Astyanax mexicanus: one gene and its partners. The protein of the gene in region 3 interacts with the protein of the main gene of each other region in a biochemical or structural test. Links are inferred from orthologs where the notes say so. Each region holds a gene or a part of one and is shown on either strand. Other genes may lie near its edges. The genes, in order: atr, atm, chek2 and ppp2r5a.

Evidence for each region.
Region 1: of the proteins of chek2 (region 3) and atr, one has a biochemical effect on the other in vitro, tested with the Homo sapiens proteins (2 studies listed by BioGRID). The link is inferred for Astyanax mexicanus from reciprocal best matches to the Homo sapiens genes CHEK2 and ATR.
Region 2: of the proteins of chek2 (region 3) and atm, one has a biochemical effect on the other in vitro, tested with the Homo sapiens proteins (6 studies listed by BioGRID, with this or other methods). The link is inferred for Astyanax mexicanus from reciprocal best matches to the Homo sapiens genes CHEK2 and ATM.
Region 4: the proteins of chek2 (region 3) and ppp2r5a form a complex in vitro, tested with the Homo sapiens proteins (2 studies listed by BioGRID and IntAct, with this or other methods). The link is inferred for Astyanax mexicanus from reciprocal best matches to the Homo sapiens genes CHEK2 and PPP2R5A.

What each region holds. Positions count from the first base shown.
Region 1 is NC_064411.1:57,784,504-57,792,415, forward strand, and holds the start of atr (serine/threonine-protein kinase ATR), read left to right. Parts: upstream 1-4,899; 5' UTR 4,900-4,914; coding exon 4,915-4,979; intron 4,980-5,208; coding exon of another isoform or gene 5,209-5,281; intron 5,282-6,322; coding exon of another isoform or gene 6,323-6,404; exon of another isoform or gene 6,405-6,516; intron 6,517-6,621; coding exon of another isoform or gene 6,622-6,703; exon of another isoform or gene 6,704-6,756; intron 6,757-7,912. Other genes in the region: zgc:110269 (probable flap endonuclease 1 homolog), read right to left, coding at 662-807, 896-1,027, 2,147-2,207, 3,247-3,383, 3,472-3,533, 3,643-3,697, 3,776-3,878, 5,209-5,281 and 1 more. UniProt on the Homo sapiens protein: Serine/threonine protein kinase which activates checkpoint signaling upon genotoxic stresses such as ionizing radiation (IR), ultraviolet light (UV), or DNA replication stalling, thereby acting as a DNA damage sensor.
Region 2 is NC_064411.1:44,659,137-44,666,747, forward strand, and holds the start of atm (serine-protein kinase ATM), read left to right. Parts: upstream 1-4,610; 5' UTR 4,611-4,733; exon of another isoform or gene 4,734-4,755; intron 4,756-6,381; 5' UTR 6,382-6,428; coding exon 6,429-6,500; intron 6,501-6,998; coding exon 6,999-7,120; intron 7,121-7,218; coding exon 7,219-7,364; intron 7,365-7,462; coding exon 7,463-7,611. Other genes in the region: ribosome biogenesis protein NOP53, read right to left, coding at 609-704, 898-953, 1,064-1,245, 2,120-2,207, 2,313-2,389, 3,186-3,391.
Region 3 is NC_064429.1:33,386,813-33,394,661, reverse strand, and holds the start of chek2 (serine/threonine-protein kinase Chk2), read right to left. Parts: upstream 3,014-7,849; 5' UTR 2,939-3,013; exon of another isoform or gene 2,934-2,938; intron 2,912-2,933; exon of another isoform or gene 2,821-2,911; intron 1,337-2,820; 5' UTR 1,331-1,336; coding exon 1,093-1,330; intron 1-1,092. UniProt on the Homo sapiens protein: Serine/threonine-protein kinase which is required for checkpoint-mediated cell cycle arrest, activation of DNA repair and apoptosis in response to the presence of DNA double-strand breaks.
Region 4 is NC_064408.1:85,993,375-86,000,886, reverse strand, and holds the start of ppp2r5a (serine/threonine-protein phosphatase 2A 56 kDa regulatory subunit alpha isoform), read left to right. Parts: upstream 1-4,506; 5' UTR 4,507-5,194; coding exon 5,195-5,354; intron 5,355-7,512. Other genes in the region: dtl (denticleless protein homolog), read left to right, coding at 144-260. UniProt on the Homo sapiens protein: The B regulatory subunit might modulate substrate selectivity and catalytic activity, and might also direct the localization of the catalytic enzyme to a particular subcellular compartment.

The DNA of each region.
Region 1 (7,912 bases), on a different chromosome or scaffold from region 3:
GTGTGTGGATCATATGAACATTATAGATCATTATAGAGCACCCCCTACACTTCCTGTAGTGTATTACAGTCTGTCAGAATGAGCGTGTTGTGGATCATATGAACATTATAGAGCATTATAGAGCGCCCCCTACGCTTCCTGTAGTGTATTACAGTCTGTCAGAATAAGCGTGTTGTGGATAATATGATCATTATAGAGCATTATAGAGCGCCCCCTACGCTACCTGTAGTGTATTACAGTCTGTCAGAATGAGTGTTGTGGATCATATGAACATTATAGAGCATTATAGAGCGCCCCCTACGCTTCCTGTAGTGTATTACAGTCTGTCAGAATGAGCGTGTTGTGGATCATATGAACATTATAGAGCATTATAGAGCGCCCCCTACGCTTCCTGTAGTGTATTACAGTCTGTCAGAATAAGCGTGTTGTGGATCATATGAACATTATAAAGCATTATAGAGCGCCCCCTACGCTTCCTGTAGTGTATTACAGTCTGTCAGAATGAGTGTGTGGATCGTATGAACATTATAGAGCATTATAGAGCGCCCCCTACACTTCCTGTAGTGTATTACAGTCTGTCAGAATGAGTGTGTGGATCATATGAACATTACAGTATATTATAAAGGTTTTATTATGTCTTATAATAAGAAAAATAATTTACTTTAAGTTTTTCTCCACACACAGGAACTTCACCAGGCCTTCCTCATCTGGATCACTCCAGGCCAGATCAGGGGTATCAGCCTGAGGTGGCTCCAAAAACAGCCTGCGGGCAGCCTGGTACTGCCAGGCTAAAGGAACCGGGTGAGTCTGTGGAGAGTGTGGGCGTTTAGACGGCTGTTTTAGTCATATTATCGTACGGTTATATATCATAAAACAATCAGTGTAGTTCAGGTACCTTTTTGTTGACGTTCTGCTTCACATGCTCTATGGTTCTGTGCTGTTGGATCAGCTTCAGGGCTCGGCTTGGACCCAGTCCTGTTATCTTATCACAGTAATCACAGCCCAGTAATATACACAGATCTACAAACTGAACACACAACATACACAGTAACATTATTACTTGTTTCCACATAAATAATAATCCACATATACTATTAACAGTTCTTAAAGCTCTCATTTTATCGTTTTTTCATTTATTTAAAAATGTTTAGTTGTGTCTCTAGTATGAATAAATGCTATGTGAGCTTCAGTAATGCGGTATAACTCTGCTTTAGTCCTGTGGAGGAGTGGGAGAAAAACAACTTTGGCTCTTGCTTATTAATATTTATAGATGCAAACATATTGCCTCTGATTGGCTAACAGCACGGAGACACCCTGAGGCAAGGAGACGGACAACCGTTAGAAATGTTTTAAAATAAAGACATTTTTACACTAATAACAGTCTTTACAATGATATATTACTTTATAACATGTGTAATAATGCTTTTCTGCTAAGTGCAGTTCAGCCCCTGATCTAGTCTTAGAGTCTCTGTAAAAAACCAAATCCACCGGAGATCCTATTTAAACCTATAGTTACACACAGAGGTGGGTAGAGTCCAGGTCCAGAAAGCAAAAATCCACCCCAGAGTTTTGTTGGGTGAGCCGTAGCAGAGCCGCCCAGGCAGTTGGAACAAACAAAACCCTGGGATAGATTTTTACTTTTAACTAGTGTAAACAGAACTGATCTAAACTGTTGTAAACACACACCTACCTATCTCACTAGTAATTGGCTGCTGTTGTTCCTCCATAGACTAATTCTAATCATTTGTTTCTTAGCTCTGAATTACTGGGTAAAGTATATAAACACTGATGTGTTATTCGCACAAATAACACAGGAATGAACCGCATGCTGTTTCTAGCGGTTAGTTATCTCCTATCTGACGAGACAGCGTCGCCGCCCGGCTTCAGCTCTGCCTGTGGGCGGTCCCGAGCCGAGGTGGGTGGGGCCATGAATACTAATTCACGGGTTGATGTAGGCACGGTGCTTATTTATTGAATAGAGGTTGAGGAACAGTTTCATGTGTAGCATCATAAACAACTCTACTGTACTGTATTTCACAAAGAACACGAAAAAGTGGATTTTAGCGGAAGGAGACCTTTAAGATAATAATAAATAATACATACAATAAATACAACCCAAACACCATTACCACACACTGTGACTGACCTCTTCCTGTGTGAGCTGCAAAGTTTCCAGTAGTTTTGGTAAGGAGTATTCTGTGACCTCACTGAAAAATCAGAACAATTTTCAAATTATTTAATGTGAGTCAGAACAGACGCATGTTGCAAATGCATAACAATGGTTTAAAAGGTGTACTCCTCTTTTAATTTGACTTTTATAAGCTTTATTCTTAAATAAATACTGTTTACAATACAGGAAGTGAGGGAGAGAGCCGTCAGAGAGAGCTGACATATGGCAGGTTTAAGTTCATTTTTTAATCTACTGACATAAATTACACTAAACAAAGTATTCACCATTACTTAACACACTTTATCAGTTTACTCAGTTTATTACCTTTTCACAAACCTTCTGTTTTCAAGCTGAGAGATACAAAGCTGTACAGGACTAGCATAGTGAAGTTAGTCAAGGTAATGTAGCCTTAACGTATTCTTTCTCTATATACATTCCAAGTTATCTAGCTACATATGACTAGAGAAGCACTGCTGAGGAAAATGTATGATTAGACTAGCATTGCCTTAGTTGAATGTATGATTAGAATATCACTACTGAGGTAAATGTATGATTAGAATAGGAATGTTAAGGTAAATCTATGCTTAGAATCGCAATGCTGATGTAAATGTATGATTAGAATATCACTGCTGAGGTAAGTTTATGATTAGGATAGCACTGCTGATGTAAATGTATAATTAGAATAGCATTGCTGATGTAAATGTATAATTAGAATAGCATTGCTGATGTAAATGTATAATTAGAATAGCATTGCTAATGTAAATATATAATTAGAATAAATCTGCTGATGTAAATGTATGATTAGAATAGCGCTACTGAGGTAAATGTATGATTAAAATAGCATTGCTATTGTAAATTTATGATTGGAATAACACTGCTGAGGTAAATATATGATTAGAATAGCAGTGCTGATGTAAATGTTTGAATGGAATAGCACTGCTGAGGTAAATGTACGTTTAGAATAGTACTTCTGTACTGCTCTATGATTAGAATGGCACTGCTGATGTACGTTTATGATTATGATACCATAGATGGACAGATAGTAGACTGTATTAATGGTTGTACTGGTTGTTCACCTGTCTCTCTTGGCGTTGAGCTGGCGTAGAAGGGTGGTACCTCCGAACGCCAGCGTGTCCATGTCCTCAGAGGCCACAGCGTCCACCACCCCACCTCTGACCAGGTGAGCACACAGCGCCTCACCATCTGCAGGAGCCTGACCAATCAGAGAGCACAGAGACTATAATACAGTACTATAATACAGGAGAAATTTAGTTATAGATAAGAAATAAATGTGTAGTTACCATGATAAAGGGCATTCCCATCAGCTGCACGAGACGGAGGAATTCCTGGGTTTTGGTGGACACTAGAATTGAAAAAATATTTGAACACACAGAATCTATATATATATATATATATATATATATATATATACGTATATATATATATAAAATATCTGGTGTTGCTCTTCTTACCGGTGTTGGAGCGATAGGAGCTGTTCCAGCCGGCGCTCTGAGCTCTTTTCTCCAGCTAACACAACACAAACTACGCGTTACTGCAAAATTAAAAAGGACTTCTCGATTTAACTTTAAAAAATCTGATTCTCACCACAGCTCTCTTCTGATTGGGCGGCTTCCCGTCAAACACGAAGACCGGCTTGATGTCATGTTCAAGGAAAGTAAGGGTGCGGTAGAACAGGCCGAGTAGAGGACTGTGAAGAAAACTGAATTATTAGGACTAAAGTAAATGTGTATATACAGGGGTTGGACAATGAAACTGAAACACCTGTCATCATTTTAGTGTGGGATTTTAGGTTTCATGTCTAAATTGGAGCAGCCTGGTGTTCAATCTTCATTAATTGCACATTGCACCAGTAAGAGCAGAGTGTGAAGGTTCAATTAGCAGGGTAAGAGCACAGTTCTGCTCTAAATATTACAATGCACACAACATTATGGGTGACATACCAGAGTTCAAAAGAGGACAAATTGTTGGTGCACGTCTTGCTGGAGCATCTGTGACCAAGACAGCAAGTCTTTGTGATGCATCAAGAGCCACGGTATCCAGGGTAATGTCAGCATACCACCAAGAAGAACTAACCACATCCAACAGGATTAACTGTGGACGCTGTAAGAGGAAGCTGTCTGAAAGGGATGTTCGGGTGCTAACCCGGATTGTATCCAAAAAACATAAAACCACGTCTGATCAAATCACGCAGAATTCAATGTTCACCTCAACTCTCCTGTTTCCACCAGAACTGTCCGTCACCACAATCAATTACTGTGCTCTAAAACCAGGTGTTTCAGTTTCATTATCCAACTCCTGTATCTGTATAACTGCTTTAGAACCACTTATATTAATAATTAATAAATAATGTATGAATTTGTAGTATGTTAAGAATACATTCCATATTACAACCCAGAAACTTTCATTATTATTATTATTATGCTAAAAGAATTTGCCCCAGCTTTCTACGAGACTGTACAAGTAAAAATGACTATTATACATATTTAATGTAAAATCGATGTTCACAAATGTCAGAGATCAACATTGTTTCAATGCATTAGAGATGGAAAAATTAACGTTGATTCAACGTCCCTTTGATTTCTGGGTATGCTAGTAATTCATATATAAACCATGTATTAACATACCAGTCCTGCATACATTTTTATAAACCTTTCCTAACCTTTAAAAATGCTTTTATTGTGGTAATTTCTGCCTCTGCAGCTCCTCTCAGGTTCAACTGTGCTATGGGCGAGGATGATGTTTCCGCCCGTAAACCCATCCATCATCCAGGGGGGAGTCTAAAATCAGGGTGGGTTGTTACCCTTTAAATAACATAGAGAACATTTCTATTGATTTTAGGTCTTGCTGATCAATAAGCTTGGTCAGGTTTGGGCAGAAAAATATACCTTACCATCGGGTCAACCATCTTAACCACCCTATCCACCTTAACAACCATATCCACCTTAACCACCTGAACCTGTCCATGCTTTTCGCTCAGTCATGATATAATAACATTATGGGATTCAGGGTTCTCTCACCTGTATGGCAGACCGGGCACAGCTGAGCGAAACTGGTTCACAACAATGGAAGTATCGAGAGCGATAACCTTTCCTACAACACAAAAAACACATAAAAAACAGATATTAAATATATAGTTAAATAATGATCTACATCATATATCAGCATTTCAGCACAATCAGAACCCTCATTCAGAAATACTGGGAAATGTATTAACTAGATAGATTTAAAGAGTTAGAAATAGCTAAATAGCTATGCTGTTAATTCTGCCTTAACTGGGGCAGTTCTGATGAGTGCCAGTTTTATCATTATAATGTTTCGGATAAGAGAGCACTTAAAAATGATGATTTTCTTTGATTTTAACAAATTGAAAACCTCTGGAATATAATCAAGAGGAAGATGGATGATCACAAACCATCAAACCACCAAACTGAACTGCTTGAATTTTTGCACCAGGAGTAAAGCAGCATAAAGTTATCCAAAAGCAGTGTGTAAGACTGGTGGAGGAGAACATGATGCCAAGATGCATGAAAAAAAACCTGTGATTAAAAACCAGGGTTATTCCACCAAATATTGATTATTTCTGAACTCTTAAAACTTTATGAATATGAACTTGTTTTCTTTGCATTATTTGAGGTCTGAAAGCTCTGCATCTTTTTTGTTATTTCAGTAATTTCTCATTTTCTGTAAATAAATGCTCTAAATGAGAATATTTTTATTTGGAATTTGGGAGAAATGTTGTCTGTAGTTTATAGAATAAAACAACATTGTTCATTTTACTCAAACATAAACCTATAAATAGCAAAATCAGAGAAACTGATTTTATTGAGGGAATGAGAAAAGAGGAAAAACATGTTAAAACAGGACAAATCCAATCAGTGAAAACAATATTGTGAAAACAATATCCAGTATAAAAGCACAGAAATAATAGACGGAAAAATAAATGTATAAAACTAAATAAAATGACCCAACAAAAAAATTAGTATTTCATTTTTCTTCCTACTGCTTACTTCGTCCTTCGCATATTTTTTCTTTTTCCAACTTAATTATTATTATTTAGCTAGGCTAAGCTATGCTGAGCTATGCTATGCTAAGTGCAATCTGTCTGTTTTAACTGTATTTATCAGGTGTTACCGGTGTAATCTCCGATTTCCTTGTGAGAAATAGAACCAGGAGCTTCACTCCGAATTAAATCTGCCAGTTTAGTGATTCCCATTCTAAAAGATTCGATTTAAAATGCTATAATTAAATAAAGCTAAAAACAAAACAAAACAAACAAAGCTAAAGTCTACTTCATGTTCGAACTTCCTGTTCCACCTTAAATGTTTCAGCCAGCAGTGGCGTTCTGGCGCCAGCTGCTGCACCATTTAAGGTGGAACGGAGAGTTCCAAAAAAACATATATCATAATTTAACTGTATTTATCGGGTGTTACCGGTATAATCTCCGATTTCCTTGTGAGAAACAGAACTACGAGCTTCATTCCGAATTAAATCTGCCAGTTTTGTGATTCCCATTCTAAAAGATTCGATTTATTAAGTACATTGATAGCTAAGCGCTAAGACTTTTATTTTAAGACCTTTATTTTGTCAGGAAGCCGCAGCGCAGCCTCCCGTTCACCCCGTTTCCAGGGCAACTGCTCGTTTGCTCATTAACCCGTTGCTTCCCGGTATGAATTCAGTTAAGCGGTCCCAGTTCTGATGTTCTGATTGGTGTTTTGCTGGAGTTTAACTTTAAATATAACTTTACAGCAATTTTATTGTGGCTTAGAATATATATATATATATATATATATATATATATATATATATATATATATATATATATATATATATATATATATTCAATAACATATATATATATATATATATATATATATTATTGTGTAGAGTTCTGAGCCACATATATGTATGTGGCTCAGAACTCTACACAATTCTACATTTGGAAGAAAAAATAAATATATATATCATATTAAAGGGTATATATTAAGGGGACACTCTTGCTCTTCTATCCTTTCCTGGGACGGTCCTGATGAGTACCAGTTTCACCATTTTACCGATTTTTATGTGTTTTTTTTTGCGATGACTGCACTTGAGGATACTTTCTTGGAAAATTCTTGAAATTCTTTTTTTCGGATTGACTGACCTTCACTGTTCTTTATTTAGTTGAGTAGTTGTTGCTTCTCATAATCTGGATTAGAACATTACTGAAATATTCACTATTCACTGTATACCTGTAACTCTACCTCTTCACTACTTTACTTTAACTGATGCTCTCAAACACTTTATTAAGAGACAAGAAATTCAAGTAATTAACTTTGATGAGTTCAGCACAGCTGTTAACTGAAAGTCTAAATTCCAGGAGACTCTACCTCATAAAACTGACTGAGAAAATCCAGCAGAGATGTTCAAAACTCATCATCTAAACAAGAGGAGATACTTTTTTTTAGTTAAGTAAGCTTTTAATAGTTTAATAAATAATTGCATATGTTGTTTCTTCATAGTTTTCATTAATACTCATTAAAGGTGCGCCCAAACTTTTGTATATCATTACTTAGCTAACTAAATTGGGTTAATCAATGATTTAGCACTGTTTAATTGTTTTAAACAATTGTATTTAAGTCATTCTTTCTAGAGTTAAAATAAAGCTATAAAAAGAAAGCAAATGCTCAAGTCATGTTGGAAATCTCTGTTTAAAAAAATTCCAGGTGACTCTACCTCATAAAG
Region 2 (7,611 bases), on a different chromosome or scaffold from region 3:
TTACCAGCAAAAGCTGTCAGAAAGACATGCAACTGAAAAACTACATAAGCAAAAGCAAACTGACGTCATTTATTAAGTAAGGACTGCTGCTGCTTCAAAGACTAACAGTCTACAAACTGAAAAATAATTAAACTCGAGAAGCTTGAGTCAGAGTTGCTAGTGCCCTCAGATCCTAAAGAACCATTCACACAACAGTCCTCTAGGTCCCAAAACGTTGTCTTCACATTCCCATAGAAATACTGGGAGCGCAAGGATGAGATCATCACAGGGCAAGAACTTTCTAACCATCTAACAAGTCAAAGCCTGAATATCAGGTCTACCAATAGGCAGGCTTAATAGAACTGTACTGGATGGGTCAGTGGTATTGGGTTGTTTTTGCCCAATCAGATAAGTGTACCTTAAGGCTAAAAGTTGGCTAAAAGTTTCTAGAAATAATAGGGCTAAAAAAATTACTAGTAAACTTTATATTCCACTTTTGAAATTTATACACAATATGACTGATGCCCTTTTTGTTAGAGAAAATTTATCATTAGAAGCCATTATTTTCAAGGGGGGGGATTGTTCATAGCAACAACCAAAAATTGAGCAAGTGAACCAAAAGCACTTACCTGGTGAGAAAGGAAGTCAGGATTATAGGAACCTCCTGGGGCGATGACTTCAACAGCTGGAAGAAGTGAAGGTTTCTCATTCATCTTCTCTGGTCTCTGCAGGAGAAAAGACGAGTCTGAGCTGTTGCATAGATTAAAACCTCACAATGTCAAGTGATGTGTGCATTCCCAAGCCATCGTAAGGTACCAATTCATGATCAATTGAAATACTGCCATCCCATAACTTCTGGCATGTGAGTGTAAAGTAGTCTTAAAGTATTTACTAGATCATCATTCCCATTATTCTTACCTTAACCAGCTTCTTCTTGGTCTGTTCAAGGTAGTAAGGATCTGCTGTCTCAGGGCCTGTAACAGACAGACAGATGCTGTTAAAGTCGCTGTTCAGTCCTATATTAAATGAAGACAATGCACTCGATTTATACATTATAAAATTAATAAATCAAGAAATGTCTTACTGCCTGCACTCCAGATATCATAGAAGTTCCTGTCTGGGTCTTTACTGATTATTGGCTTTTCCTTAACAGGAACCTTTTGGGGACGTTTCCTGCGTGGCAATACACCCATGTCGGTCAGCTTTTGGATCTTTTGGGCAATTCGACGCTCCTTCTTGGCATTAGGGCGCTGATGGGCCAAGATACTGCACAGAACAGGGAACAGAATGTGAGTGTTAAAGACCAATCTAAAGAACGTACAAAGAACATTGCTAAAGCTAGAAAAGCTAGACCTTAGGAATCCTAGGGTTAGGGTGCTGTGTTTTGGTTACACAGATCTGATATTTTAATAAACAATAAAGGCTTTAGTAATTTTCTTTTCCCACCAAGTTATTGGCTGAAGGAATCATAAGAAAGTCAAGAGAAATCATGAAAAAGGAATTGTCTAGTGCCCTCAGATCCTAAAGAACCGTTCACACAACAGTCCTTCAGGTCCCAAAAGGTTGTCTTCACATTCCCAAAGAAATACTGGGAGCGCAAGGATGAGATCATCACAGGGCAAGAACTTTCCAACAAACACAATTTCAGAAATCAAGGCTGCTGTCCACAAAGCAGTTTAGATAGTACAGTAGAGGTATGACTTGGTCTGGGCTATTGGGTATACCCTCAGTGTTTCCTCTTGGATTTTTTTTGCAGTATTTGCAATCAGTTTTCTGTCTCTTCAATTGGCTTTTTCCAGCTAAAATATACAAGCTGTACAAGGCTAGGATACTAAGTTAACAATGCAGGCTAAAGTAAATTAGCCTTAAAATTGTTTACAAAAAGTCTTTCTGCCTGTCTCAGTTTTAAATTCAAGTTTCAATACTGTGGCTTTCTGTGGTCTTGAAAAGGTTTTAATTAATTTTACTGTCAAAATGCTGTGCTCACATAAACAAAACACAAACAAATTGAGCAAGGATACCCACGTAAAGAACAGCCCACTCAACAAGGGACACAACAAAATGTCTAAACACATATTTGTAATTGTATTATAGACCACTGCAGCTTGGAAAAGTGCTATATAAAACACGAATTACTTACTCTTTAGGTGGGGCGACATTGGAAGTTGGCTGTAGAATTAAGTCTATCCGAAGTGGCTTGGACTTTTTACCAGTCTCTTCACTGGAAGCTGTGGAAAGAGAAGACCAGAAACTTAAGACCCAACTAATTAACAGCCAAAAAAATCTAAATAATAACTTAAAAACAAACAAACAAAAAAAACGTAGATACATACCTGGCTCAAGAACACTCTCTTTCGTTCCAGTGTCCACAAAGAAGAGGCTTTCGTCTGTTTTGTCAGCTATAAGACCTCTATGGAGAAATATTAAAAAGTAGAAACATTACACATCATGGATGTTGTGATTTTATTTTTTTTATAAGTTTTATTTTATTTATGTTTTATATATTATATATATATATATATATATATATTATATATATATATATATATATATATATATATATATATATATATATATATATATATATATAAAGATTTAAAAATGATTTGTATAACCTATATGTAATACAATCTAAGTTATCAGCATTTTGTACAAAAACAATACATCTATTAAGTACTAAGTATTAAGTACAGTTAAGAAGGTGACACTGACATTTACATGGAATAAAAAGCATTATGGTTGCACAACATGATATTTTGTAATGTTAAACTGTATGGATATTCAATTGTATTTGTACACAACATTAATATTATTAGAACAACTGTATATGTAATTTATGAGTGTTTTGTTATTTGCCAATTTTAATAAATGAGAGGTAAGCTTGAGAACCTTAAAACAAAGGTATCTTAACTAACACACGTATATAAAACTAGCCAAGCTATAGAAACAATTAGCTTAGCTACTTTAGCTAAACAGCGAACCTATATTACCTAGATACGGGCTTTTTAAAACCACGTGACCAACAGACCCCAAACGCACGTGGCACAAGGTTTCAATAGATAGCCCTCTGTTTTTAATTTCTCAGTGCTTTTACTAAATCTATTAAAACCCATAGTTACCTAACTCATTCCGAGGTCTTTAATCATGTAAGTCAGTAATGAATAATATTTAGGTTAGCTCCTCAGCTGAGAAAAAGCCCTGCTCACCCTGTAGCTCTTTCCTGGAGCCTCACGTCGTCCAGAAACTCCTCCACATCATTAATATCGCTGTATTTGTTCCAGTTCTTCTTCTTGTTTTTGTTTACGCGCTTCCTGCGTCCGATAGACAATGATTTCCCGTCCAGATCAGATTTTAAAGGAATAAATCCCGGCTGTGAAGCCGCCACACGCCTGTGCCTCCTCGCCGCAGCCATGTTCTCACCAGTGGAGGGGGCGGGGCCTCGGTGGATGTGGGCGAGACTATGATTCGAGCTCCGCCTTTATGTGAAAACCATCAAATACTTCTCTGGAAAAAAAAAATAGTTTTCAGATTTTATATGTATATGTTTGAGTAAAATTAATATTGTTGATTTATTCTATAAACTACATACAATATTGACAATATTTGGAACCAAATTCCCCCAAAAAATATTGTCATTGTGAGCGTTTATTTGCAGAAAATGAAAAATTGCTAAAATAACTAAAAAGATGCAGAGCCTCAAATAATGAAAAAAAAAACAAGTTTGTATTCATACAATTTCAAGAGCTCAGAAATCAATATTTCATGAAATATCCATGTTTTTAATCACAGTTTGGCATCCTCCACCAGTCTTACAAACTGCTTTTGTATAAATGTATGCTGCAAAAAATTCAAGCAGTTCAGATTGGTTTCAAGGCTTGTGATCATCCATCTCCCTCTTGATTTTATTCCAGAAGATTTCAAATTGGTAAAATAAAAAATAAAAAAATTAATATTATTTTAAAGCAGTCTCTTATTTTTTCCAGAGTATGTACAGATTAGTTATTTTTTATATTGAGTACTTTCACGTTAATATGTATTTAAATCAAATCATTTTGTAAATAATGATAAGATAAAAATAAATGAACAACATAAAATCAACAAAAATATATAATTATTGGAATATTGGAATATAATACAAATAAACTAACAACATAAAGTAAAATAATATGAGATGCCTGGTGGATTATTGTTACAAGTATTACAGCATTTCCCAAATAGCTTATGAAATACACTATCTGAGATTTTGAGACAAAAAAACAGAAAATATGCACGAATTACTTTTTTTTTAATATTTAGTACTTTCACGAATCAGTATTCAAAAGGAAATGGTGACCCTCTTCACATGAAGCACAAAAAAAGTTTGACCTGTTTAATTTGTGGTCAAAATTAAACAAGTAATAGGTCAAATACACAGAATATACAACCAACATCACAAACTCATCAAAACAAAAACATACACAAAAAACCTAAACAAACAAATCAAACAGAAAAAAGAAAAGTGGGAATCAAATAAAAAATGAAAAGCTACAAAATATAGATGGATTTTCTTTTTATTATTATTATTTTTTAATTAATACGTTTTATACTGATGATTAGACTGAGCCTGCTGTGTGCAGCTCCTGCGGGTAGGTGGCGCAGATCGTGTGTGAGGGTGAGTCAGTGCTGGAGACGAAGAGGAGAAGAAGGCGGGGAGATGTACACATGTCCAGAAGTTCAGAGTGGATTCTAATGAAAGCGGAGGAAAAACAACGCAAGTGAGAAACTGTTCCAACTCCAGTAACTACTCTATTTTAGGATGTTAAACAAGATCCATAACTGAGCTAAATAATCACAGCAGTTTCGCACAGAGATCACCAGAGCTTAGCCTGTTGACTTAACTAGCTAACTGTTAACTGTGTTTACTGCAGTAGCTTGTGTGTATGTAGCTAATTATAGTGTCAGATACTGGAGGATCAATTTATCATAGCTAAGCTAACTAACAATCTAACTAACAGCTTACCAGTGTACTAGAGTGGGCCAAACACAAGACATCCTTTCTAGACTGAAAGCAGAAATATTTCTGGACATAATATTACTTAAATATAAGTAGAAGTGTCTGTGTTAATCCCTGAGTATGGACGTTTTTAATTTAGCTAGCTAAAGAAAAGTAATGTGATTTTTCTTCTGAAAAATGCTGGTATTTGAAATCCATGTTGCATTTGATTCTGCTCTGCTTGGTCATGCTGGTCACAGCACTTATCTAGTTTATCCTTATCCATATCGTGATAATAGGGCTGTTTTGTCTTAAAATAAGTCTATTATTCACTGTGAAGCTCTAGGTGTATTTATTGTATAATTGTTTTAGTTTGCAGTTTATATACATGCACTAAATATTCTGCAATATTATTTGCTGCATTATATTATTTTATGCTATATTATTTATTTTTCCACATTATGATTATACTGTTATACTATTATACTATATTCCTAAAATGAATTAAATATTTTAGTTTTCCTATATCACCAAGTATATCATTATTGCAAAAATACCCTGAAATATCGTGATATTATTTTAGAGCCATATCACCCACCCCTACTTGCAGTAATTAAACAACTAAAACATAATGTTTAATCTCTTCTAGTCCAGCTTGAACTGACTCTGCTTTTTTTTAAAGCAGAGTATTTGCAATGCTATGACATTATCTTGATAAATATTAACTTTACAAACCTTAATAGTTATTATAAGCTATCAAACATTTATCTTATGTAGGATTTTTACTTTTTTGTAATTTCCAAAAATACCTTGTCCACCTGTGGTTATGTGTAGACTAGAGATGCACCATAATATCAGAATCAAATTGGTATTTTTTATAATCATTGCCACGGCCATTTGCTGATGTATTTATTGTATTGTGGAAAAGGACCAAGTGATGTTAGTCATGCTATTTTAAATGTATTTTTTTATCTAATCTTAGTTATAAAGTTATACATCAAAGGGCTGAACAATATGGCAAAAACTTATCTAATCATTTATCATCTAAATCATATCATATATATTTTTAAATTTCCGTTGACATTTAGACAAAATGCATCAGCAGTTGCAGATTCTGATGCTCTTTCATGTGTAGGACAGTGATTTTTATTTAATTTTTGTTGAACGTCATCCGATTGCACTGTCTGGAATTAAATGTATGCTAAATAAGATTTAATTAACTATTAATGATATTCTTTATATGCTTATTGTCAATATAATAAGTACAAGAAAATGTTTCACAATATGGTAAAATATAGATATATTGGCATTGGCATTGGTAGATATATATATGTGTGCACTATTGGATATCAGCCGAGAATTCCGTGAATCTCTTGTGTAGAAATGTAGCTAATCTAGTAAAATGTTAATAGTTGAATTCTCATTGACAGCTGAGCAGCATAGTGTATGGAAGCCCATGGAGATCATCTGAAGCACAATGAGTCTTTCAGTGCATGAGCTGCTCCTCTGCTGCCGGGGGTTAGAAAATGAGAAAGCCACGGAAAGAAAGGTATTAATTTTCTTTACTTTTTTATTTTTACTTTATGAATTTACTTGTGCTTTTATGACCTATATTCACACTTTGTAGTTTTATAATTACAGACTGTAGTCTTTGCGTCTGGTGTTTCTCTGCATAATGTATTATCAGCCTGTTCAGTCAAATTGAGGCGTTTAAAAACTCCAGTTGCAGTTCTGTATCTAATCTGTACTACTCATACCAGCACAACAGACACTAACAATGCCACCACTGAAATATTACTTGCTCTGTGGTAAACCTGTTGGGACCTAACCGTTGCAGAACAGGATGTAAGGAGGTTAATAATAAAGTATCCAGAGAACAAGTAGGACTGCTGTCTGTAATAGAACTACAAAATGCTCCTGTATGATCAAATGTAGGAAGTCAAGATCTCAGTATTGCTAAGATTCTAGTATTTTTGTAATATTGCATCAGTTTGAGAATAACATGAGAAAATACTGTATAACTAATTAATTTAATGCTTCATTCCAGAAAGAGATTGATCGCTTTAAGAGGCTTCTTCGAGACCCTGAGACAGTCAAGGAACTTGACCGTACTTCTGCATTAAAAGCCTCTAGAAACAACAACCAACTCACTTGGGATGCTGTGTTCAGGTTAGCAGTTAAATATTTATCCTAATAAACATCTGTCAGTTCTACATAAACAGTCTTTTTAATCATATGCTCATTTTCGCATTATTTCATCTCCCCAGGTTCCTTAAGAAATACCTTCAAAAGGAGACAGAGCTCCTTCAGTCAGGCAAAGCCAATGTGTCGGCCATCACACAAGCGAACCGGCGCAAAAAGATGCAGGAGATCAGCAGCTTGATCAAATACTTTGTGCGATGTGCCAACAAACGTAAGCCTTGAGACTCATATTTGTGGTCTTATTTTTTTTTTTTCAAAATATTCCAGTTCTGCAAATATATCAGTTTCTCCTGGTAATAACTTCTACAGGGGGTCCGAAGCTGAAGTGCTCAGATCTGCTGGCTCATGTGGTGGAGGTTATGCAGAGCTCCTTCAGCTGCTCTGCGTATGGAGAAGATTATAGCAGCATGCTGCTGAAGAACATCCTGTCCGTACGCAAGTACTGGTGTGAGATCACC
Region 3 (7,849 bases):
TTATAAACATTTAGAAAGCCCTTGGCAATATACAGCACACACTGAGAACTAGCCTGCCTAAAGTATAGCTGCTTCTAAACATGGTGGTGGTAGTTTCAGCATCATTGGCCGTTTTAGCATCAATATTGCAAAATGCACAACAGTCACACTGCAGGACAAAACATGTATCACAAAATTTGCTGTAATTAATAAAAATTAAACATTTTTCTTTTTTTCATTTCCTTCACTGAAACTTTTATTAACCGATATATTCAAACGTTAATGAAATAAATCAATGTAAGATCAATACAATAGGATTTAATTTGTACAACAATACTTCCAGCAGTGTCAGTACACAATGTTGTACTTCACAGGTTTTTATACTGTTCATTTCGATATCGGGATTAAATCGAATTAAATAGAGCCGCACAATATATCGGAAGTAGATACACAGCGCTGTCTCTGTGTCTGTGTGAGTGACAGGCTACTGCTGCCTGAAAAGTACAGTTTTGCAGCGCAGATATTTCCAGTTACAGTTGATTTCATGCTTGCAATTCCAGAAAAATGGACAATTAAATTAAACACCTCATGCTGCAATATTTTAATTCTTGCCACAGGAAGTCGATACACAGCGCTGTCTCTGTGTCTGTGTGAGTGACAGGCTGCTGCTGCCTGAGAAGCACAGTTTTGCAGGGCAGATATTTCCAGTTATAGCAGAATTTAAGCTTGTAATCCCAGAAAAACCCTCTTATTTACCTTTAAAAAAACATTTAAATGCCTGATTAAAGGGTAGATTACTGTTGTTGTGCTCGGGTTTTGGGTTTTGAGTTTTGAGCACGCGGGTTGGGGCGGGGCTGGCAACGTCATGGGCCCTAAATTGTCTAATATTGCAATATATATATATATATATATATATATATATATATATATATATATATATATATATATATATATATATATATATATATATATATATCGCCAAAAACAATTTTTCAATATTGTGCAGTCCTAGTATCAAACACAATTAATAAATATCCTGATATAAACCAATTTTGACCATATCGCCCAGCATAAATGTCAGTATAGTGGTATTGTGGTGGACAGCAGACTTACTCAGAAGGTTGAATCCCCTGATTAGCGGAACCATGCGCCCCCAGTACTTGGGCTCAGGTTCTTCAGGTTCCTCAGGGATGGAGGAAAGGTCTGCCACAGGAACGGTGTCCACAGAACTCAATGTTCCAGAGCCTGAGGAGGACTGGCTGGCCGAGGTGGGTCCGGAGGATGAGCTGGACTGAGGCTGAGACTGGGTCTGGGACTGGGAGTGCCCACTTGGTCCTGCCTCCTCCGACATGCTGCTCTGTAGGAGGTGAACGAAACGATGATGTGTTACGATTATCATGACAAATTACAATAAAAGTCATTTTATTAGGCCTGTCACAATATTTGCAACATTGATTTATCGTACAATAAATGAACAGGACTTCAATCTTTTTCAATAATCATGATATCGTCTATTGTGTTTATTTGTATGTTTGTTCACATATATAACAGTATACAGTATTTTAGCCAGTCACAATACTCAATACCACAGTGTGGACTAAAGTAGGTAAAGAAATAAGCATATAATTTCCAAACTAATTATAATAAATGATTAATTAAATTGTTGATGTCTTTTAAAAAGTGATAAATTGTTTTTTATGCTATTCTTTTATCATTATGTCAGTGGCATTTTATTCAATAAAATTAAAATTACAAAAATATCATGTATCGTAAAAAATTTTGGGACAATATATCGTCCACAAAAAATCGTGACAGGCCTAGTCATGGTATGCACACACAGGAACATTAGATCACTCCAGGTACAGTACCAATCACAAGTTCGGACACACCTGAAATCCAGGGTATTTAAAACAAAAATCTGCATTGTAAATTAATACTAAAGTAACAAGCTTTATGGCTTTCAGTTAACAGCTGTGCTGAACTCGTCAAGAGTTAATTACTTGAATTTCTTGCCTCTTAATAAAGTGTTTGAGAGCATCAGTTGTAAAGTAGTGAAGAGGTAGAGTTACAGGTATACAGTAAATAGTGAATATTTGAGTAATGTTCTAATCTAGATTATGGCTAAGTAAGGACAAAAATGAAAAAAAAAAAAAAAAACGGTCAGTCAAACCGAAAAAGCTCTTTAAAAAAAAGTATCTTCAAAGGCAATCAAAAACGCTGAACGATGGAACTGGCACTCATCAGGACCTCCCCATAAAAGAGCAAGAGTTAACAGGTGATATGGCACCATATTTCAGGGTATGATATAATTTACTATGTTCAAAGATTGTTGGTGAAATTACTGTGTACACCAATAATATACATATACATGTATTTGCATATATAACATGAAGGGATCTGATTGGTCAAAGAAAGAGGGTGGCACCTGTAGCTACAAAAAGGCTCCTCCCACTTTTTTTTCCCAGAAAGCAAAAAAAAAAAAAAGCCAGACCTAAACCCAGGATTAAACCGGATTAGCATGTTTGTCTGAACTCCTATCCTAAACAATCCGCATTCTAAATCGGATTCACACCCATTTTAACTTGTTTTTTTCTATATCAGGTCCAAATCCAAATAAATAAATAAATAAATCAGAGTCACGAGTTCATAGCTAACGTGGTAGCTAACGTGGTAAATAGAAATAAATAGAAAATATTCCTGACAGAGAAGCTAAAAAACACTAAAACCCTAAACATTTAAATAAATAAAAGAATATTATCCTGAATCAGAGTTAAATCGGATCCGGAACCGGCGCGTTTAGGCGGGTTGTGAAGCTCCGGGCTAAAGCAGCAGCTCGCCTACCTGAGAAAACCCGGGTTAAACTAATAATACAAGAACAGAGAACCCTCAGAACCAGCAGGACCCTAAAAACACAGCCAGACTCAGCCCGTACACACGCGTTATTACCGCCATACCGAACCTGCAGAACTTCAGCGGGGTGATCCGGACTCCAGCTCGCAGCCGAAACACATGTGCCGGACTCTGCAGCGCGGCAACCAATCAGATCACAGAACTGGGAGATGTAGGAGACAAGACTGCTGGGAAATGTAGTTTTCTTGTATTAATAAATAAATGAATGAATAAATATGTCTAAACAGCGCCGCTTTGTGGTATTTTTTCTAAATACACAATCTATAATAAAATATCTGGTATTTCAGTATTTTTATGTTTAATAATTAAAAGGGAAAACTGTACATTTTAAGGTTTTATTAGTTTCCAATACAAGGATTAAGCCTAGGTTGTGTCCCAAATATGTACTTAACACTAACAGCAAAAAATAGAACAGTGGATAAAAAATAAAAATAAACAGATATAAAAATAATAACTGAAAATATAAACAACAAAAAGCAGATATAAAACAAATGCAGCCGATATAAAGCAATAATAGTGGGTATAAAATAATAAATGTGTTTAAAATCAATAAGTGCAAATATTAACAGCTAAAAGTGTGGAATAATAATAATGAGAAGAAGATTACAAAGAACAGCACGTTGAACTTAATTAAAACAGCAGATATAAAAAATAAAATTAGCACACAAAAAATTTATATAAAAGAAAATATGCTATAACAATTGTGGACATAAACACAACTTATGTAAGTTAATATACAAATTTAAATTGACTATAAAATACAAAATGTAATAATTGTCAATATAAAATCGTCTATAGAGGTGTAGTTATGGGGTGGATTTGTAGTTAGGGGGGGGATATAATTTCCTCACATATAAATAATACACAGTACTGTTATCCACAGCTGTTATTCTAGCCTATATCCATGCAGTTTCATGCTATAGTATTATTATCATATATCATATATCCTTTTATGTTAGCAGCACCAACAATCCAACAGCATGTAATAGACACAATAACAAGTCAAATTCAGTGCATATACAACTAACATCACAAACACATTAAAACACACTGTTAGGAAAAATAACTAAAAGCCTTTAATGTGTCATGGCAAGTAGATATAAAACACTAAGGCCACGTGATTATCAAAAAAAAAGAAAATTGAAAAAGAAGAAAATTTAATGAATTAATTAAAAATATATATAAATAAAAAAATAAATAAAATAATTAAATCAATAAATAAAAAATAGTAGTACTACTACTTATTTATTTTTTCGTTTTTTTTTTCAATTTATTTTTCAAAGATCTTTTCATTAGTTTATAAACTTTTTTTTCTTTTTTTCACACACACGCGCGCGCACGCAGGCGCACGCGCACGCACACACACACATATTGTATAATGTATATTGCGCAGCTGGCTCTCGAACACTGCTAACCGTTCGCGAGCGACACGTGCGATGACGTCACCAGTGACTGTGACGTCATCGACCGAGAGTATATTTATATATATATAGGTGCCTTAGCGCGCAGCGTTTTCCCGGAACAGCGCCGCCTGTAAAGGAGCAGCATAGCGCGGCTAAGATGAAGAAGAAAAACTAATTAATAATTATTAAGTATTAATAATAATCAATAATTAAATAATACATTTACAAATTTGGTGGGGGCTGGCAAAAAAAAAACAATCAATCAATCAATAAAATAAATAATAATAAATAAATAGCCCCTAATAAATTTGGGGGTGGGGGGCAAAGTTTTATAGCCCCTAATAATATATATTATATATATATATATATTATATATATTATTAGGGGCTATAAAACTTTGACTCATGACTGTGCTGCAAAACACAGTTCTAACAGCTTTGTCAAGTTCGCCGATGATACAACCGTGCTGGGTCTCATCACCAAAGGCGACGAGTCAGCACACAGAGAGGAGGTGCAGCGGCTGACAGACTGGTGTACAGTCAACAACCTTCACCTGAATGTGGACAAGACAAAGGAAATTGTTGTTGACTTCAGAAGAGCACAACACACCCACTCTCCACTCAACATCGACGGGTCCTCTGTGGAGATTGTTAAGAGCACCAAGTTCCTTGGTGTCCACTTAGCAGATAACCTCACCTGGACCCTGAACACCAGCTCTACAGCTAAGAAAGCCCAACAGCGTCTCTACTTCCTCCGGAAGCTGAGAAAGGCCCGTCTCCCTCCACCCATCCTCACACTCTTCTATAGAGGGACCATTGAGAGCATCCTGAGCAGCTGCATCACTGCCTGGTTTGGGACCTGCACCGTCTCTGACCACAAGACCCTCCAGCGTATTGTGAGGACAGCTGAGAGGATCATCGGCGTCTCTCTCCCCTCCATCATGGACATTTACACCACCCGCAGCATCCGCAAAGCAACCAGCATTGTGAATGACCCCACCCATCCCTCACACGAACTGTTCTCCCTCCTGCCTTCGGGAAGAAGGTACCGCAGCATCCGGTCCCGCACTGGAGCTGGTGTTCAGGGTGCTGGACCGGATGCTGCGGTACCTTCTTCCCGAAGGCAGGAAGGGAGAACAGTTCGTGTGAGGGATGGGTAGGGTCATTCTGATTGCTTTGCGGATGCTGCGGGTGGTGTTAATGTCCATGATGGAGGGGAGAGAGGCATCTCTCTCTCCCCTCCATCATGGACATTAACACCACCCGCAGCATCCGCAAAGCAACCAGCATTGTGAATGACCCCACCCATCCCTCACACGAACTGTTCTCCCTCCTGCCTTCAGGAAGAAGGTACCGCAGCATCCGGTCCCGCACTGGAGCTGGTGTTCAGGGTGCTGGACCGGATGCTGCGGTACCTTCTTCCCGAAGGCAGGAGGGAGAACAGTTCGTGTGAGGGATGGGTGGGGTCATTCTGGTTGCTTTGCGGATGCTGCGGGTGGTGTTAATGTCCATGATGGAGGGGAGAGAGGCCTCTCCCCTCCATCATGGACATTAACACCACCCGCAGCATCCGCAAAGCAACCAGCATTGTGAATGACCCCACCCATCCCTCACACGAACTGTTCTCCCTCCTGCCTTCGGGAAGAAGGTACCGCAGCATCCGGTCCCGCACTGGAGCTGGTGTTCAGGGTGCTGGACCGGATGCTGCGGTACCTTCTTCCCGAAGGCAGGAGGGAGAACAGTTCGTGTGAGGGATGGGTGGGGTCATTCACAATGCTGGTTGCTTTGCGGATGCTGCGGGTGGTGTTAATGTCCATGATGGAGGGGAGAGAGACGCCGATGATCCTCTCAGCTGTCCTCACAATACGCTGGAGGGTCTTGTGGTCAGAGACGGTGCAGGTCCCAAACCAGGCAGTGATGCAGCTGCTCAGGATGCTCTCAATGGTCCCTCTATAGAAGAGTGTGAGGATGGGTGGTGGGAGACGGGCCTTTCTCAGCTTCCGGAGGAAGTAGAGACGCTGTTGGGCTTTCTTGGCTGTAGAGCTGGTGTTCAGGGTCCAGGTGAGGTTATCTGCTAAGTGGACACCAAGGAACTTGGTGCTCTTAACAATCTCCACAGAGGACCCGTCGATGTTGAGTGGAGAGTGGGTGTGTTGTGCTCTCCTGAAGTCAACAACCATTTCCTTTGTCTTGTCCACATTCAGGTGAAGGTTGTTGACTGTACACCAGTCTGTCAGCCGCTGCACCTCCTCTCTGTGTGCTGACTCGTCGCCTTTGGTGATGAGACCCAGCACGGTTGTATCATCGGCGAACTTGATAAAGCTGTTAGAACTGCACAGTCATGAGTCAGCAGGGTGAACAGCAGAGGACTCAGGACACTGCCTTGGGGGGCCCCAGTGTTCAGTGTGATGGTGCTGGAGGTGCTGCCCCCGAACCGGACTGACTGGGGTCTCCCCGTCAGAAAGTCCAGGATCCAGTTGCAGAGGGGGGTGTTGAGGCCGAGCGAGTTTAGCTTCCTGATGAGGTTCTGTGGGATGATGGTGTTGAATGCTGAACTGAAGTCTATAAACAGCATTCTGACGTAAGTGTCCTTCTTCTCCAGGTGGGTGAGGGAGAGATGAAGGGTGGTGGTAATGGCATCGTCCGTGGAGCGATTGGGACGATACGCAAACTGAAGGAGACCAGTGAAGAGGGCAGTGACCAGAAGGTTTGGGCGTGTGGTGATGGTCTTGGAGACAGTGACATCATCAATACACTTGCTGATGTAGCCAGTGACTGATGCTGCATACTCCTCCAAATCAACAGAATCGCCTTCAGTAGCAGCCTCCCTAAACATGTCCCATGCAGTGCACTCAAAACAGTCCTGTTGGAGTCAGCCACACACACATGTGGTCCGAGAAAGCGAGGTGGGGGCGGGGCTCCGCCCGGTACAGTAATACACTTTTTTTATATAGCACCTTTCATACATAAATATATAGCTCAAAGTGCTTTACAATAAAATTTAATAAAACAGAAAAATTTTAAAGTAATATAAAACAAATAAAACAATTACATTTAATACAAATTTAATATTTAATAAAATAGTAGGAAATAAGTAATTCATATTAAAATAAAGTATAGAACATATTATAGATAGAAAAATAATAAAAAAGTAAAAATAAAAATAAGAACAACAAAATCAATCAAATAATTTTTTTTAATTATAAGCAAAACAGAAGCTAGTAGTAAGCTAAGCTAAACAGGAAGGTTATTTAATTTATTTTTGATTAGATGCTTTATAGTATGCTTTATGTATGAGTAATGTAACCATAATAAAATTAATTGTTTGTATAAGCCCTCAAAGCTAAATCATTAATATGACAGATGGGGAATAGTGGCAGCAAAGGTTACAAGAATTTTGGTACTTTTATAAAAGGGTATTCCTAAAATAATTTAAAGTATTTTGAAAGAATTTGATTAAATGTGTTTGAATATTTATGTGTTTAAATAATGAAAAATAATGCAAATGGTAGCATATTTGCATGTGAGCAATGCTATACTTTTATATAGTAATGATAA
Region 4 (7,512 bases), on a different chromosome or scaffold from region 3:
ACTACTAAACCCATTTTTTTCATTAATATTGCTCATTTTCAGTGCAGTTTCCAATAGAACTGTTGTTTAAAAATAAACATTAGAAAAAATAAATGAGCTTTTCTGCTTTGGTTGACATTCCCTCTCCTTTTCTTCTCTTTCAGGCTTTAGGTTCTCCACATTCTATGAGGAAGATCTCTTCTCCACAACCTCAGAAAACTTCTTCTCCACGTTCTATGAAAAAGATCTCTTCATACTTTCAGAAAACACCACAAAAATGATCTCCTTCTGCAAGGAAAATTTCCAGCCTTTTTCCAGACTTTTAATTACCATCACTATCTTTCTGAAACAGCAGAGATGAAAATACAGTTTAGTTTGTTTAAAGATGCGTTTTTTAAGAGAAACATGCTCCACTGCATGTGTTGTATATTTTAGCCTCTCTTTAAATCTGAGGTGTATTTTCATGTAAATAGACAAATTATCTTATTATTAAATGACTGTACTTTTAGCTGTACAGCTTCACAGAAAAGAATGTTGTTTTCAGTTCTAACTGTATGTTCACTAATGTTTAATGCAAGTGTGTTAAGTGTGTGAAACACAGAATTCTGCTATTGCTTTTGTATATGTACATAAAACTGTCCTGTTTATTTTTATTCTTATTTTTTATTCCTGTTGGCTGCTATTTTCTTAACTGGTGTTGAATTAAATGAAGACACAGGGTCTGAAATGATGTTTCCACACTGACTTTCCTGGTACTGTAGCTTGCACTCATACATAGAATTCAGAATAGGCTTTACATTTTAATCTGCTCATTTACACGTCACCCTCAGCCGTGGGTTTAATGCACTCTGCATTACAGGGCAGCATTCAGCTTAATTAAAACACCCATTTTACAATTAATGTATGCTTTTAATTCCAGGAGGCAGCTATTTAATCAGCTGTGCTCTGTATATAAGTGGTGCTTGTTGCCAAAAAAAAAGAAAATTGCCTAAAATTGAATTACTTTAATTCATTCTTACAGCTTTTTGCTGATCACATCTAGAATTATTCTTTTTTTTAAGTTTTTTATTAAAAAGACCATTCAACTTGTAATTTGCTCTTTAGCGCACAGGTTTGCAGTTTCATTCATATAGTTTCATTTCAGCAGAAGCTTGTGCTTTAGAGGCCAGCATTTAATGAATTATGAAGGAACTTTTAATTGAATTAATTAACCATACATGGTGTTAGAAATTATTTGGAGAACTTTTCTTCTTAAAATCTATTTAAAGAGTTTTTACTGGTTATTGGTTGCAGGTGATCTGAGCTGGTCATCAAGGCTGGTCAGCATTCTTTATGCTGTTAAATGTTCCCCTTGATTTTGGACTTGCTTTTACCTTGGTCTTGCTCGTCCTTTTGGTGAACCAATTGGCTGACTAGTCTTGCTGGTTGCAGGATTGGTGAAATCGGTTGTTTGCACAGGTTGATCGTTTTGATTTGTTGGCCAGCTAAACCATCAGTAGTATATTATTTCTACAAACTATTGAATTAACTATTTTCTAATCCACTATTTTTATAATACGAAGGATGTGTCATGGTAAATATCAATTTAAAATGTCTTTTAAAAGGAAATAAACATATTTAAATAATGAGTTTTGGTAAAAGTCCTACAAAATATGTGACCCTCTTAAAGACTATTTAAATTTCAATATTTATGTTAGATTTAGTGTTGAGCGAAGATTGAATAGTCAAGTTCAATTTAGAAGCACTACAACAAATGGCCAACCTTCCTAGTCCAGCTCTGTGTGGATACGGTGACCCCTAGGTTCATGTGTTGATGCTTCAGACTTTCCCTTTTTTTTTGCAGCACTTTTTAGATTAGATGACCTGGCTGTATATCACTTATTAGAGGTTGTATTTGTGTACTTGTACACATGCAGTGTAGTCTTTGTCTAGATTTTCATTCTTTGCATTTTAACACTTGAGTTTGAGTCAAGCTGGAAGGCCACCAGGGGGCGACAGATCTTTCCTCATTTGTCTCACTCACCTACTGACCTTGAAATTTATGAACGTACGTGACCTCTAAACACAGGTTAAGTGTCTTATATCTAATTAGTATTTAAAATCTATTAACTGGCTATTGCATCACTACCATTACCTGAATTTAGAGCATGTATTGTTAAAATGCATAAGATGCTATGCGCAATACGCATAGAATGTTGGGAAATAAAGTTTACATATAGAATGAAACAACAAAAACATTATTAAAATGTAATTTGGCCATACTCTGTGGCAGGGGTTCACAAGTGTTTATCTGTTGAGAATGATAGAACAGAAAATACCAACACACCCTATTTGTACTGGATGTTCTGAATGACTGCCCTGTGTTGGGCATCATAGCTGATTTTGAGAGTCTAGGCTGAAACACTTCATACAGTTACGTCTAATCTGCCTTTAATGCTGTTTTTTCATTGCAAAGCACAGCTAGAACAGCATTTACAGTCATTCTTTTCTCAAGCCTACTGCTGTTTATGGGTTTTTAGCTGAAGCATACAATTTGCACTCATGGATTTCTGGTTGAGTTCATTCCAGTGCAGACAGACAAGTTAAACGGGTCCTGGCATGGCATGATTTATGCGTTTTATCCCTCTGGGGCTTCAGTGGGGAAACAAAACAGGTCAATAGGAGGTGAGTGGAGCTAAAAAGAAATGAAGCAATCAACTTCAGAGTCATAAAAGGAAAAATATTGGTTGTTGGTTTGACCTCAGTGATGCATCAATGCATTAATGGTTTTAGTAGTGGGTGCGTATCTACAGAACTGGACTAAATTCACTTTATTACACAATGTGTACTTTATGTAACCTCTTAGTTCAGTGATTTCCAGGCTAAGAGACTGCAGGTTTTAGTTTGCGCCTGACCTACACCTGTTTTTTTTTGTTTGTTTGTTTCATTTCACTAACATTCAGCTTCACGTTTACTTTCCTGGGTGTAATTTCCTTCTGTTGTGTTCAGCAGTCTAAGAACATAGATTACTGGAGCCATTTCCTGTAAACTGACGAGACCAATAAAACTGTCCCTTGTCTACAGTAAAGCATGGTGGTGGTAGCATCATGGTCAGTGGCTATGTGAGTGCAGCCAGCACTGGGGAGCTGAATTTTAACATGTACTGTGGCATTATGAAGCACAGCATCTCCTCCCTTCCGAAAGTGGGCCACATTGCTGGTTTCCAACACAATAACGACCCCAAACACATCTCCTAAATCACAACTGCTTTGCTGAGAAAGCTGAAGATTAAGAGGTGGACTGGCCAAGCATGTCTCTAGACCTAAACCCTACTGACAATCTGTGGAAGGTCTCTAAAAGCCACCAACTCCATGATCTTGTCTTGGTGAAGTGGAGGAGGATTCCTGTGAAGCTGTGGTGACCTTCAAGTTAAGGCAGTGCTGGACTGTATTATATGGGGCACTATCAGTAAATGTCTATTTTCATACATAAGGCGCACTGGATAATAATGCAACATAAAGGCACAGTGGTGTTGTATAAAATACTCAGCTCTGAGCGGTAGAAGAGCTAGCACTTAGCGTGTTTAGCCGCTAATGCTACTGCTCCAGCCTCGGTGGCAGACAAACTTCACTGAAACTCCTGTATTACACTGTACTTCAGCAGAGTGTCTTTACTGCTTCTTACAACCTGACTGGTAAAAACTGAATGAGTCCACAGATTCTAAAACTGAAATAATAATAACAATTATAAAAGCTATTAATATTATTGAAAGTGTTTTAACTATTATTGTATCTACCAATTATACAGTTCTTAAAAAAATGAGACCACTTATAAAATATGAGTTTCTTTGATTTGACCAAATTGAAAACCTCTGGAATATAATCAAGGGGAAGATAGATGATCACATGCCATCAAACCAAGCTGAACTGCTTGAATTTTTGCACCAGGAGTGGCATAAAGTTATCCAAAAGCAGTGTGTAAGACTGGTGGAGGAGAACATGCCAAGATGCATGAAAACTGTGATTAAAAACCAGGGTTATTCCACAAATATTGATTTCTGCCATTCTCATTTTCTGCAAATAAATGCTCTAAATGACAATATATATATATTTTTTAATTTGGGAAAAATTTTGCCCGTAGTTTATAGAATAAAACGACTATGTTCATTTTACTCAAACATAAACCTGTAAAAAGCAAAATCAGATAAAATCAGATTCAGAAACTGTAGGGTTCTCTTATTTTTTTCCAGAGCTGTATGTTCTATATAATGAGTATTTATTGCAGGTACGTGTAAACGAAACCACTGCTTTGGGCAGTGAGACAGAAACCCTGAACTGAAGCGGGTTTTACATAAATCAGACCTAATTGACTAGCTCCAGGCGGACAGCTTGAAGAACTCGATCGAGCGGTAATCTGATTGGCCGCGGCGCAGTTGATCCTAGGCGCTGATTGGACGAGACTGCTGTCCGTCTCCGCGCTCAGCCTGTGGCCGGAGGGCGGTGGGCGGGGCTTGTGTTTCTGTCATTCACTCCACGCTGAGCTGCACGCTCACCATAAAGGTCAGATTGAGCGCTGGAGCGGCTGGATCAGAAACTTCACACAGCGCCTCGGTCCCGCTCTGAGAGACTTTCCCCGCCTGTTCTCGGGGTTTAGACAGGGCTGTGGATCTAATCAGAGGAATCAGAGTCAAGGAATGATCGATAGTTACATCAGCAGCGCCTGGAGAGGAGAATAATCCTATTTGTATCTGGAGCGGCAGCGAGAGACATGCGTGCCCCGCCGCCGCCGCTGTGCTGGAGGAGGAGGAGGACGCTGGGGAGACTTTATGGCTTTTAGATAAATGGGAAAACTCGGATATGAGGCTTCTCCACTTCTCCACTCTCTGATCCTGCGCGCTGACAACCTGTAGATGTGCCTGGAGAAGAAGAAGAAGCCCATCATGGCCACAACTTAAAGCCCTAGACGCCATATTAACTGGGTGTTTGTGTTTCTGTGTATCTCTGTGTTTCTCTGTGTAATATTGCATGATCTCCACTGCTGTTAGTCTGGTGGACACTCCAGTCTGTCCCCATTGGCCTTTAACTCCACGAGCAACAGGGGCTGCTGCACTTCAACTTCTTAGGAAGAAGAGAAGCTAGACTGTCCTCCACTCCACACTCACTTACTCTCCCCAGCATACTCCTGAGCTCAGCCAGTGCTTGAGTGTCCGTGCATTTGTCTGTATTTGTGTGTCAAGATGTCCTCTGGCATCTCAGCCACAGAGAAGGTGGATGGATTCACCAGGAAGTCCGTGAGAAAGGCCCAGAAGCAGAGGAAAGCTCAAGGATCAGCCCAGTTCAGGCCACAGGCAGGAAACCTCAGCCCTGGAGAACTTTCAGCCTTGCCCCAGCTCAGAGGTAAGGGGATCAGATAAGATACTGCACACATAGCCAATGGATCATTGCCTCTCAAGATCTCATAAAACACTATCAGAGCTCAAACCCTTAGAAATAAATGTTACTCAATGGTTATTGGCTTAGATGTTGTAGTTCCTGGGGGAAACAAATCTTTAGTCCATAAGAGCCTAGACCATTGTTGTATTTTTTTTTCTTATTGTGGGGACAATGCCTATAAATACATTTTATCATCATTGACAATGATGATAATGTTGGTGGAGATAAAGTAGTAGGCAAATCTGGAAAAAATGTTTTGCTTCCTTTTTGCCATATTTGATCACTCACCTAAGGTGAGGTCACAGGCCATGTTCCACCCATTCCAAGTTCAAACTAGGGGTGTGCCTGAAATATTGTGCCATATCTCCCACCCCTCATTATCACATCAGGGTACTACTTTTTGCTATTTTTTTAAGAACGGGAAATTCACACTTCACACAATTGTTCTCATTTCCCATTATATATCTAATAGAGACCATATCTGTATCATTTATTTTACTTTAATCCTGGACTTCTGTTACAGAATTCTTGTATTTTTTTTAATATCTCAGTTTGGGGTGTGCCATATCATATTGTATTAATAAAATGTAATTTTTATTTTGTTTTAATAGTGTATTCTTGATTTTTTTTTATTCTATGTTTTTTCATATCGTTATCACAAAGTATTATCACAAAACACCACGAAATATAATATTATTTTAAGGCTGTATCACCCACCCTTAGTTCAAACCCTAATAAGCAACTCCATTGCGTGTATTTTTAACATTTGAATGGTTAAATGGTTGGAACCGAGTTATAGAAACAAACAGTATACTTTTAAAATGAGCTAGTTTTATCTCCAGCACTGACCCAGCACACCTACATTCTGGGAATAAGGTCAGATGAATGAACACACATTCACACACTGTCCTGTGATGATGCTCTCAGTATATGTCCCTTAGGTTCTTCATAGGTTAATATGACGGACAAAGTGCTATAGGAAACTTGCCTTTCTTTAAAAAAAACGATTGCAATTTAGGTTTAATTTAAATTAAGATTTAGATTAATTGTAAGCTGAATTATTTGCAGGTGTGTTGATAGCAGCTAGGAACTGGCATGACCGATAGGCTTCACATATAAAGCCATTTAATTTACTAGCCAAAACACCAGTGAAGCTAACTGTATCTTCGGAAGTTAATGATGATGATGATGGTGATGGTGATGGTGATGGTGATGGTGATGATGATGGTGATGTTGGTGGAGATAAAGTAGTGGGCATATCTGGAAAAAAAAATTCTTCCACCCACCCTCCATATTTGATCACCCACCTAAGATGAGGTCACAGGCCATGTTTTACACAGTCCAGGCTACTTTTCATCACATGCTTTGGGGCAGTAGTGGCTGATTGGTTAGAGTACTGAGTTATTGATTTAATCCCTGGGTTCAGGAAGACTCCACTGTTGGTCTCTTGAGCAAGGCCCTTAACCCTCACTTCTACCTGGGCACCACAGCAATTGCTGCCCACTGCTCTGTGCACGTGTGCTCACTGTATCACTGTGTGTGTTATTTTGTCTGTAGGGTGTGTTTACTGCATGGATGGGTTTCAGGAGGAGGCCAAATTCCATCTTTGTTGTCTCTGTTTTTTCAAATGGAAGGAGAGTTGGAGATTTTAACTTTTGGTGTGCTGTCCTTCGGGTGAAGTGGAGATACTGATGTATTCTGCCTCAATTAAGGCATAAGGCAGTGTTTTCATAACCATAACCATTTTGTGTAATGACTCTGTGATGCTTTTAGAGGCATTAAACTCCTCAGACGTCTGGTTTCATTCAACAACACTGAATGATTCTGACTGGGCAAGTTTTTTAGAATGGAAAAACCTCTTCTAGAAGGAATGTGAAGGAGATGTTTATGATATAAAATACTAATTGTAGCCTGCTCCAGCCATCAAGCACACTACACCACAAGCTGCCGTAGCAATGTATGTCTGTGATAAGTTGTCCACTGTAACTGTTCTAGTGGAAAATCCAGTGTTAGATGAAGTTAAAGTTGAATTCATAAAAGTAAGCAACCAGTTCTGTTTCACAGGACTTATTTGTGGTTTTAATCTTCAAAGTAACTCAAGTCTGTTCAAATGACGACTAGC